Oryctolagus cuniculus: one gene and its partners. The protein of the gene in region 2 purifies or fractionates together with the protein of the main gene of each other region. This does not show direct contact. Links are inferred from orthologs where the notes say so. Each region holds a gene or a part of one and is shown on either strand. Other genes may lie near its edges. The genes, in order: TSSC4, ECD and ZNHIT2.

The links.
Region 1: the proteins of ECD (region 2) and TSSC4 purify together in Homo sapiens (affinity purification with mass spectrometry; 3 studies listed by BioGRID and IntAct, counting the BioPlex papers as one, with this or other methods). This does not show direct contact. The link is inferred for Oryctolagus cuniculus from reciprocal best matches to the Homo sapiens genes ECD and TSSC4.
Region 3: the proteins of ECD (region 2) and ZNHIT2 purify together in Homo sapiens (affinity purification with mass spectrometry; 3 studies listed by BioGRID and IntAct, counting the BioPlex papers as one, with this or other methods). This does not show direct contact. The link is inferred for Oryctolagus cuniculus from reciprocal best matches to the Homo sapiens genes ECD and ZNHIT2.

The regions. Positions count from the first base shown.
Region 1 is NC_091432.1:1,158,934-1,162,679, reverse strand, and holds TSSC4 (U5 small nuclear ribonucleoprotein TSSC4), read left to right. Parts: upstream 1-1,121; 5' UTR 1,122-1,207; coding exon 1,208-1,253; exon of another isoform or gene 1,254-2,094; coding exon 2,095-2,174; exon of another isoform or gene 2,175-2,265; coding exon 2,266-3,096; 3' UTR 3,097-3,163; downstream 3,164-3,746. UniProt on the Homo sapiens protein: Protein associated with the U5 snRNP, during its maturation and its post-splicing recycling and which is required for spliceosomal tri-snRNP complex assembly in the nucleus.
Region 2 is NC_091446.1:64,309,951-64,313,596, reverse strand, and holds part of ECD (protein ecdysoneless homolog), read left to right. Parts: intron 1-2,379; coding exon 2,380-2,467; intron 2,468-2,580; coding exon 2,581-2,759; intron 2,760-3,646. UniProt on the Homo sapiens protein: Regulator of p53/TP53 stability and function. Inhibits MDM2-mediated degradation of p53/TP53 possibly by cooperating in part with TXNIP. May be involved transcriptional regulation. In vitro has intrinsic transactivation activity enhanced by EP300.
Region 3 is NC_091432.1:6,443,127-6,445,825, forward strand, and holds ZNHIT2 (zinc finger HIT domain-containing protein 2), read left to right. Parts: upstream 1-930; 5' UTR 931-964; coding exon 965-2,101; 3' UTR 2,102-2,142; downstream 2,143-2,699. Other genes in the region: delta(14)-sterol reductase TM7SF2, read right to left, coding at 2,295-2,455, 2,549-2,671. UniProt on the Homo sapiens protein: May act as a bridging factor mediating the interaction between the R2TP/Prefoldin-like (R2TP/PFDL) complex and U5 small nuclear ribonucleoprotein (U5 snRNP).

The DNA of each region.
Region 1 (3,746 bases), on a different chromosome or scaffold from region 2:
CGCCTGTACAGAGCCACCCCGCTCGCTCCGCACGCAGCTGCCGGCTCTCCGGGCTCTGCGTCTCCCCCGGAGCCCCTGTGGCTGACGCCGCGTGCCAGGGGCACCTGCCGAGGGGGGCCGGGCCTTCTTAATCCTGTTGCTTTCCTGCCTGTTCCGGGAGCACCTGTCCTTTCTAACGTCACCTTCAACTGTAACGCCCGCAGCTGGACACAGTCTGTAATAAAGGAGGAGACATCGGGCATGCTAACGCGCTGGCCGCCGGTCCTGGCCGGTGGGGTCTCAGTGGGTGGGGCGCTGGGGACAGAGGGGTCTGGACTGTGCCGAGCCCGCGCGGAGCGGACGGGACCAGGACCCAGGGAGCGTTCCGCGGGTGACCGCCCCTGGGGCACACCGGGCTGCGGGAGGGGGCGGCCGGGCTCCGGGCTCCCTGCGGGCAGCAGGCCCCAGGTCTGCTGAGACGTGGGTGGCCCCCCGGGCCTCAGCAGCATCTCGGAGCAGCCAGAGCAAAGGCCCCGCCTCGGCCTGGACAGCAGCCAGGGAGGACTGAGGCTGGCCCTGCGGAGGGCGGGGGCTCCTGCTGCTCCCAGCCCCTGGGGGACAGGGTTGCCTGGGAGAACTAGGTGCAGCGAGGAGTCCCCTCCACTCCCCCCGGGCCGTGCTGGCCCAGGCTGGCCTCTGGACGTGCAGGGCCTGGGGCCCCGGGGCTGCCAGGACAGGGTGGGTGTCCCAGAGGTGCCTGGGCCGTGCATGACCCGCCTGCTGTCCGCGGCTGGCCCCCCCGGGGTCCTTAGACGCCGGTCTCCCCGTGAGTGCCAGGACAGCAGGCCCCCGCAGGAGAGGGACTCAGGAGCTGGGGTCTGGCGGGCACCGAGCAGCCCCAGCAGAAACGGGGGCAAAAGGCGCTGCCCACTTGGGGCCTGGTGGCCAGCGAGAGGCCTGTCTGGGAGAGCCCGGGGCCGGACCTGCCCAGGATGGCCACGCCCAGCCCCGGCTGCCTGGGCCGCTGGGCAGCGCTCCGCGCGCCTGTCCCTGAGGGCCGGGGAACCGGAGAAACATCGTCAGAGGCTCCCGACGTCCAGCGCAGCCCACAAGCTCAGTGGCTGCCAGGCCCGCCCCGGGCATTGACGGATGGACCCGGGAAGGGGCAGCGACTTCCGCTTTCGGAAGGCCGGAAGTGCGGGCAAGGGCTTCTGCTCCACCGTGCGCGATGACGCACTTCCTGTCTACGTCGGCTGCTGTCTCCGCACCTCCCGGTAGGTGGCACTAAAACTCCGAGAGGCCTGCGCCTCGCCGTTAGTCGAGCATTCTGGGAGTGGCGGTTGGCTCCGCCCCTTCCTCCGTGTCAACGCTAGGCCTTTTCCGTTTCCGGAACCCGCTCCTGGCGCAGGGCTTGGAGGTGTAAGGAGAAGGGCGTGGGCGCATGCGCACTGGGGCACACGTCCCGTCAGGGCTCGGGAGCTGAGGCCCGGTGGCTTATGGGAGATGTAGTTCTTCGGTCGCGGAGGCCACAGTGCGCGGCTAGCGGGGGACTCGGTTTCCCAAAAGGCTGAGCGCGGCCGGCGGGGAACCCGAATGAAGGCGGCCGGCACGAGGAGCCGGTAAGTCCGGGAGGGCCCTCTGCGCGGCCGCCCTGACACGGCGAAGGTGTGCTCTGCTCCGCGGCAGAGGCGGCCGGAGGCAGCTAGAGCCGCTGCCCCTCGGCCCGGTCGCGGGATCCCGGCCTCCCCAGCCCAGGGCGCGCTCGCCGCGGTCCCTGCTGGGCCCAGCGCTCCTCCTGCGGCTGCTCCGCGGGAGGAGGTGCTGCGCCGCGCCTGGGTCGGCCCGAGGCGGGGAGCGCCGTGTGGAGGGTGCGCCCGGGCTGTCCTGCAGCCAGCCCCTCGGGAGCGCGGGTGGGGGTCGTGTCCGGGGCCGCGGGGGCGGCCTCTGCCCAGCAAGGCCGCTCGAGCTGACCCTTGAGCGCGCTCGCGAGCCCGACCCCGCCGGGGTGGCCGCGGCCCGGGCCCTGGGGCCCAGCCCTGGGCTCCGCCTCGTCCCAGGCAGCTTGCGGCCGGCCCCGCGCTCTGACGCGGGCTCTGTCCCCCGCCCCTCACCCAGCCCCGTCTGAGCAGCGGAGCCGAGGCCACCGAGGAGCCCACGCCGGGGCCACCGAGGACCTCCGTGGGCGGACGGGGGAGGTGAGAGCCGGGCCGGGGAGGGGCCCGCTGCTGCGGCCGCGTGGGCCGGCGACCCTGAGCTGCCCCCTCCCCGCGGGCTGCTTCCCCGCAGGTGCCGTGGGACGGGGCCATGGCCCAGGCGGGGGCCGAGGGGGACGCCGCGCCCCCCGACGACGCCGACTTCCCCAGCGACTCGGGCTCGGACTCGGACTCGGACCTCAGCTCTGGCGGTGCCGAGGCGGCCGCGCCGTGTGTAGACCTGCCCGCGGACTCAGAGGACTCCGAGCCCCCCTCGCCGCCCCCGGCGCCCCCCGCCCCTGCGGCCCAGCCGTTCTGCCTCCGGGGCACGAGCTCCGCCTTCTCCCGGCGCAGCCACAGCGTCTTTGACGGCCTGGAGGGGGCGGCCGGCGCCCCCAGGGGCCCGCGTGTCCCCGACTACGTGGCGCACCCGGAGCGCTGGACCAGGTACAGCCTCGAGGACGTGGCCGAGGCCAGCGAGCAGAGCAACCGGGCGGCGGCGCTGGCCTTCCTGGGCGCGCGGGGCCCGGCCGCCCCCGCCGCCTGCGCGCCCGCCTTCAACCAGGACTCCTCCAGCTGCGGGGAGGGCAGGGTGGTCTTCACCAGACCGGCCCGAGCCCGCGAGCCCAGGCCCGAGAGGAAGAGGGGCCTGGGGCAGGGCGCGCAGCCGGGCAGGGGCCTCCCGGGGACCGAGGCGGTGGAGCTGCCCCACCTGGCCGGGCCCGGGAGCCCAGAGGCCGAGGAGAGGGGCGGCACCCCCGGCGGCCTGCAGGAGGAAGACGCGTCCCCCGCGGCTGCCCACAGAGGGGCCTCGCCAGGGCCCCCCGGCCTGGACGCCGTCGGCTTCCACGGCGCCAGGAAGCGGAGCCGGGAGCACTTCCGGAACAGGGGCAGCGGCTGCGAGGGCCCAGCGGCTGAGGGGTGAGCGGGCCGGGCCGCGGCCGGGGGCCCGGGGCTCCATGGGTGACAATAAAGGTGTTGGGTGTCCTCGGGTCCTGTCTGTCGTCTCACTCCCCCTGGGCCCCCAGCCCCGCTCGGACCCTGCAGAGTGACGGCCCCAGTGTTCCGCTTCTCTGGGTTTTTGTTTGCTTTTAATTTTGAAAGATAGAGAGGTCTTGCGTGCACTGGTCCACTCCCCAGAGAGCCGCAGTGGCACAGGGGCCGTCTGCTGCTCTCCCAGCTGCAGCGGCAGGGAGTTGGGTCAGAGTGGAGCAGCCGGGACTGGAACCACACATACAGGAGGCGGCTTTACCTGCTGCGCACAGTGCCGGCCTGGAGGGGCTGAGGGGTCCCCCTGGGCTGGGGTCAGGCCACAGGAGTCCAGCATGGTGCCGGACAGGCCTGAGTGGTCCTGTAGCCGTGCCCACGCTCGCCTCTGGCTGTGCCCCACCCAGACTGTCAGGACGGGGTGCAGAGCCGGCATCTGGGGTCTTGTGCCAGGACTCCAGCCCAGCATGGGCCATGGGGGACAAAGGGTGGGTTCCCCAGGTCTGCTGGGGGAGGCCCACGGAGCGAGCATGTCTGTCCCCCACTCCCTTGACCCTTGAGGGCTCGGCCTGGTTGTGACTCAGCTCA
Region 2 (3,646 bases):
TTTTCAAGAATACAATACATTGTTATTAACTGTATTAATCCTGTTGTACAGTAAAGCACTCATTTAAACACTGGTACCATGCCTAAAATAATTAGCAATAATATCTTTTTGAAAATTATTTATTTATTTGAAAGAAAAATAGAGATCTGCTGACTCACTCTCCAAATACCTACAACAGCCAGAGCTGGATCAGGCCAAAGCCAGGAGCCAGGAACTCAATCCAAGTTTCCCACCTGAATAACAGGGACTTGACTACTTCAACCATCACCTGCTGCCTCCCAGAAAGTACAATAGCAGGAAGCTGGAATCACGAGTAGAATCATACTGAAACCCAGTTGTTCCAGTATGAGATGTGGTTGTCCTAAGCCATGTCTTAATGCCTGTACTTAGCACCTAACCCCAGCAATAATATCTAAGTAATGATATTTAAAGGGGCAAATGAGATTTTTAAATAAGCAATAACTAAAACAGTTTATATTTTTACAGCAATAATGGTAGGGGGGATACCTCTTATATGCAGATGTTTGTTTATAAAATGATGGTTCATATTTTAACAAGTCCATAGAGCTCTTTAAATTCTAAGCATTGACTGTTTTCTCAGTTTTTTAGAAAAAAATAAAAAAGACAGGATACTTCCTCTATGTCCCTGCCAGATTAATAGTTCTCAGTTACAGTTCTAATCATTTTACTACCCTGCTCTAAAACCTTTAACTTTTTTCTCTTTGCTTTGTTGGTGTAAAAAATAAAATAAAATAAAAAAAAAACTTTTTTTTGCCTAAAAGCCATGCACATTCTCATTAGTTTTGCCAAGGATTTTTAAAGCTGTTCACACGGTGATATCACTGTGCTTTTTTTGTCTTGTTCTTCACTAAAGTTTTTGTTCTCCCAGTATCTACCTTAAGTGACTAATAAAGCCCTCCAGGGTTTTGCTTACGCTGTTGCCTCTAGCCTCCAAGAACAGTTCTCCTTTCTCTTTATCTCTCTACACATTAATAGTGGAAAAAAAAGACAGGGCAGGCTTCAGTCTTTGGCTTAGTGGTTAAGACACCAGTTGGGAAACGTTTGTCTTATATCAGAGTGCCTGGGTTTAAGTCCTGATTATGCTTCTGATTTCAGCATCCTGCTCCTGCAGATCCAGGCAGGCAGCAGTGATAGTTCAAGTAGTTGGATTCCTGCCACTTAAGTGGGACACCTGGATTAAGTAACCAGCTTCTGGCTTCAACCTGCCCCAGCCCTGCTGTTAGGAGTATTTGGGAAGTGAACCAGTGAATGAGAACTCTGTCTTTGTGACTCAAATAAAAAAGAAAAGTTTTAAGTGTAAAATGACAGGATGGTATGTAAAATATACTATCTTTTGTGTAAAAAGAAGGGAGAATAAGAATATACTGGGCGTGGGCATTTGAGGAGCAAACCAGCTGGTGAGAGGACTGTCTGTGTCTTTGTTTCTCTCACTGTCTCTGTGTTTCAAATAAACGAAAACTTATTTAATTAAGAAAAAAGAGTATGCATTTCTGCTAGTTAGATTAAACATAAGCAAACTGTAGAAGCATGTAAAAGAACCAGCAGTGAGGGGGATAGGAATTTAGCCACTAGGTTCAGAAGTAACATGAAGACTTTTTCATTCTTTAACTTTTTACATATTTTAAAATATTTTTGATCATGTGCATGTATTACCTGTACAAAAGAAGTGATAACATATGGAGCAAAAGAATTTATCTTTCAAGGCCCAAATAACACCTCTTACATACGGATTTTCCTAATCTTTCCTGTTTTTTTTTCTTCTTTTGAAATCCTATAAAATTATTTTGTGTGTTTTCACATTTTCATCTGGTATTGTTTATGATTATTTATCAACTTTTTTCTCATTTTACCATCTTTCTCTAATCTCTCCTTATAATCTTTTTAAAAATGTGTTTATTTATTTATTTGTTTAAGAGGCAGAGACAGAAAAAGCTCCCATCTGCTGGTTCATTCCTGTATGGTCCCAATAGCTAGTACTGGGCCAAGCCAAAGCCAGTGCTAGAAACTCAATTCCGGTCTCCCATGTGGGTTGCAGGACCCTAATTACTTGAGCTATCACCATTGCCTCCCCAGGTCTGCATTAGAAGGAAGTTGTAGTCAGATGCTGGAGCCAGGCACTGAAATGTGAGACATGGACATCTTTTCCTCTAGACTGTCCATCCTTTCCTTAATATCTTATAGTTTCTTTCAGTGCTTAATGATGGTGTTCCAAATATTGTACTTTCTTAGAGCAGTCAGCACATAGTGCATTCTCAAATATTTACAAAGAAGAAGGAGAAATATATTAGCATGAAACTGTTCTGTTTGCTAACAAATGTGTTGTTTTTGAATGCCGAATTGCAACTTCTTTTGCATTAGGATTGAAGACAATGATGGTGAATTCTTGTTAATAGAAGCTGCTGACTTTCTCCCTAAATGGTTAGATCCTGATAATAGTGCCAACAGGGTAAGTTTATCTGTTTAGAAAAATTACAAGCATAAAAATATTTTGCATTATTTTCATATGTACCTAGAATTTGCCATTGCCCACTATGAAAATTAAAATGTACCATTTTCCAGGTGTTTTTCCACCATGGGGAGTTGTGCATTATTCCTGCACCAAGGAAACCTGGAGCAGAATCCTGGTTACCCACTTCACCCCCAACAATCCCACAGGCATTGGATATAATCTCAACACATCTGGAAAAAGTTGTGGCTTCAGAATCTATACGAGCTGCTGTAAACAGGCGCATCAGAGGGTAAGAAAGACACCACTTCCGTTGCTCGTTAAGGAGCCTTTTGTTTTAGTGCAGCTCAAGTTTTTCACCTAGATTAATGGAATTAATGCTAATTCCTATATTGTCTGCATCCCTCTTTATGAAATTGACTAACAAACTTACAGACTGTTTTTTCTGAAGATTTATTCATTTATTTGAAAGGCAGAGTTAGAGAGAGAGGAAGAGAAATGGAGAGAAGATCTGTCCACTGATTCACTTCCCAAATGGCTGCAACAGCCAGAGCAGAGCCAATCTGAAGTCAGGAGCCAGGAGATTCTTCCGGATGCAGGGACTCAACTGCTTGGGCCATCCTGTGCTGCTTTCTTAGGCACATTAGCAGGGAGCCGGATCGGAAGTGGAGCAGCTGGTCTTGAACTGGCACCCATATGGGATGCCAGCGCCGCAAGCTGCAGCTTTATCTACTATGCCACAGTACTGACTGCAAACTTGCAGATTTTGAAGCTTAAACAAGTAGAAGTCAGGGCCGACACTGTGACATAGCCGGTAAAGCCACCGCCTACAGTGCTGGCATCACGTATGGGGGCACCATTTTGAGTCCTGGCTGCTCCACTTCTGATCCAGCTCTCTGCTATGGCCTGGGAAAACAGTAGAAAGTGGCCCAATCCTTGAGTCCCTGCTCCCATGTGGGAGACCTGGAAGAAGCTCCTGGCTCCTGGCTTTGGATCGGCATGGCTCCAGCTGTTGTGGCCAACTGGGAAGTGAACCAGTGAATGGAAGACCTCTCTCTCTCTCTCTCTCTCTCTCTCTCTCTCTGCCTCTCCTTCTCTCTCCGTGTAACTCTGACTTTTAAATAAATAATCTTTTAAAAATATTTTAAAACTCTAACTTTGTTTACTGTACTGCTTTTT
Region 3 (2,699 bases), on a different chromosome or scaffold from region 2:
CGCCATGGCATAGTGGGTAAAGCTGCCGCCTGCAGTCCTGGCATCCCCCGTGGGCGCTGGTTCGAGTCCCGGCTGCTCCACTTCCGATCCAGCTCTCTGCTATGGCCTGAGAAAGCAGCCGAAGATGGCCCAAATGCTTGGGCCCCTGTACCCGTGGGAGACCTGGAAGAAGCTCCTGACTCCTGGCTTTGGATCGGCGCAGCTCCGGCTGATGTGGCCCATTAGGGAGTGAACCAGCGGCTGGAAGACCTCTCTCTCTGCCTCTCCTCTCTCTTTGTAACTCTTTCAAATAAATAAATCTTTTAAAAAAATGATTTCAAGCCGGCGCCGTGGCTCAATAGGCTAATCCTCCACCTTGCGGCGCCGGCACACCGGGTTCTAGCCCCGGTTGGGGCGCCGGATTCTGTCCCGGTTGCCCCTCTTCCAGGCCAGCTCTCTGCTATGGCCAGGGAGTGCAGTGGAGGATAGCCCAGGTGCTTGGGCCCTGCACCCCATGGGAGACCAGGAAAAGCACCTGGATCCTGGCTCCTGCCATCGGATCAGCGCGGTGCGCCAGCTGCAGCGGCGGCCATTGGAGGGTGATCCAACGGCAAAAGGAAGACCTTTCTCTCTCTCTCTCTCTCTCTCTCACTGTCCACTCTGCCTGTCAAAAAATAAAAAAAAAAATAAAATAAAAAAATAAAAAAAATAAAAAAAAATAAAAAATGATTTCAGCCGGCACTGCTCAGTTTTGCGGTGCGACCACCAGGGGGCGGGCTGGCACAGACGGGACACTCGTGGCGCCCTAGCGCTGCAAAGGGGGCGGGGCTTCCGAGTGTGGGCGGAAGTTGCCGAGAGCCCTTGTCAGCCTGGCATGGACTAACGCTCGGAAGGCTCCGCGACGAAGCGGAAGTAACCGAGGAGGCGCCGGAAGTTGGCCCGCGGCGCGCGTGACGTCCGCGGCGCGCATGCGCTGCCAGTTGCCATGGAGCCGGCCGGGCCGTGCGGCTTCTGCCCGGTTGGGGAGACGCGGGCCGCGCGCTACACCTGCCCGCGCTGCAATGCGCCCTACTGCTCGCTGCGCTGCTATCGGGCGCACGGGCCCTGCGCCGAGGACTTCTACCGCGACCAGGTGCTGGGGGAGCTTCGCGGCCGCAGCGCCTCGCCCAGCCGCCTGGCCAGCGCCCTGCGCCGGCTGCGTGAGCAACGCGAGACCGAGGACGAGCCCGAGGTAGCAGGCCTCAGCCCGGGCCCCGCACCCGGCGGACTTTCGGGACTCTGGGAGCGGCTGGCACCTGCCGAGAAAGCGGCCTTCGAGCGGCTGCTGAGCCGCGGCGAGGCCGGGCGGCTGCTGCCTCCCTGGCGGCCGTGGTGGTGGGGGCGCGGGGACGGACCCCGGCTCGTGGAGGCGGTGGGGGACGCCGCGGAGCCCGAGCCGGATCTGGAGCCGGAGCCCGCCCGCCCGCCCGCCGTGCCCGCCCGCATCCCCGCGCTGGCCAGCCTGAGCCGCAGCCCGGCCTCGCCGCTCGTGCGCTTCCAGCTGCCCAACGTGCTGTTCGCCTACGCGCACGCCCTGGCCCTGTACCACGGCGGCGGCGACGACGCGCTGCTCCCCGACTTCTGCGCCACGCTGCTCGGCGTTTCCGGAGCGCTGGGCGCCCAGCGAGTCTTCGCCTCTAGCGAGGAGGCCCTGCAGGCCGCAGCCCACGTCCTGGAAGCCGGCGAGCACCCGCCCGGGCCCCTGGGGACGCGGGGCGCCATGCGAGAGGCCGGCCGCATCCTGCTGGGCCGGGGCCCCGCCGACCCCAAAGGCTACACGCTGGCCGCGCTGGGGCACCTGGCTCGGACCCTCGGCCGTGCCCGGAAACAGACCGCGGCTGGCGAAGACCGAGATCGCCTCTACCGCGCCCGGAAAAAGTGCCAGTACCTGCTGGCCTGGGCCAACGAGAACGAGGCGGCCCTCGGGCCCCTGGCTGTGGACTGCGCCAGGGCGCACGGCGCGCACGCGGCGGCCGCGGAGGAGGTGGCCGCCCTGGCCGGGGAGCTGGAGCGGCTGTGGGGCGGCCCTGTGCCCCCCGCCCCACCTGCCCCAGGGGCTCTCATTGAAGAGCTCCCTGGCTGACCTGGGGGGCTTGGCCTCAATAAAGCGGAGATTGGCCCTGCCCGGAGTGACAGCTCAGTTGTCCCGCCCAGCCCCGGGCTCTCGGGCCCACGGCGTGTCCCAGCCTTGCCCTGCCCCAGAATGGAACGGAAGCGGGCGGCGACTTGGAGCCGTTTATGCAGGGGAGGAGGGGTCTCCGCCGGGGCGCGGGCGCTCAGTAGACGTAGGGCACGATGCGGTGCGGCACGCGCCGGCAGTACTCCAGCCACGCGCGGCCGTACTTCTGCAGGCACTGCCGCTCGTCGCGGGCCTCCCGGTGCACCAGCAGCGCCGTGAAGTAGATGATGTAGAAGTAGGGCAGCAGGTGCGACAGCCCTGCGGGGAGGGGCCGCAAGGGTCTCCACGCTGTCCGGCCGGGCGGGGGAGGCCCAGGGCCAGCGGGGGCCGCCCCTCCGCCGGGGCACTCACCGCAGGGCAGGGACCAGGCCAGGGCCATGAGGAGGTCCCCGAGGTAGTTGGGGTGGCGGACCATCCCCCACCACCCAGACACCAGCAGCCTCCGCCCCGTGGCCGTGGGGATGGTCTCCAGGTCTGAGGAGAGACGGGCAGGGGGCGGGTC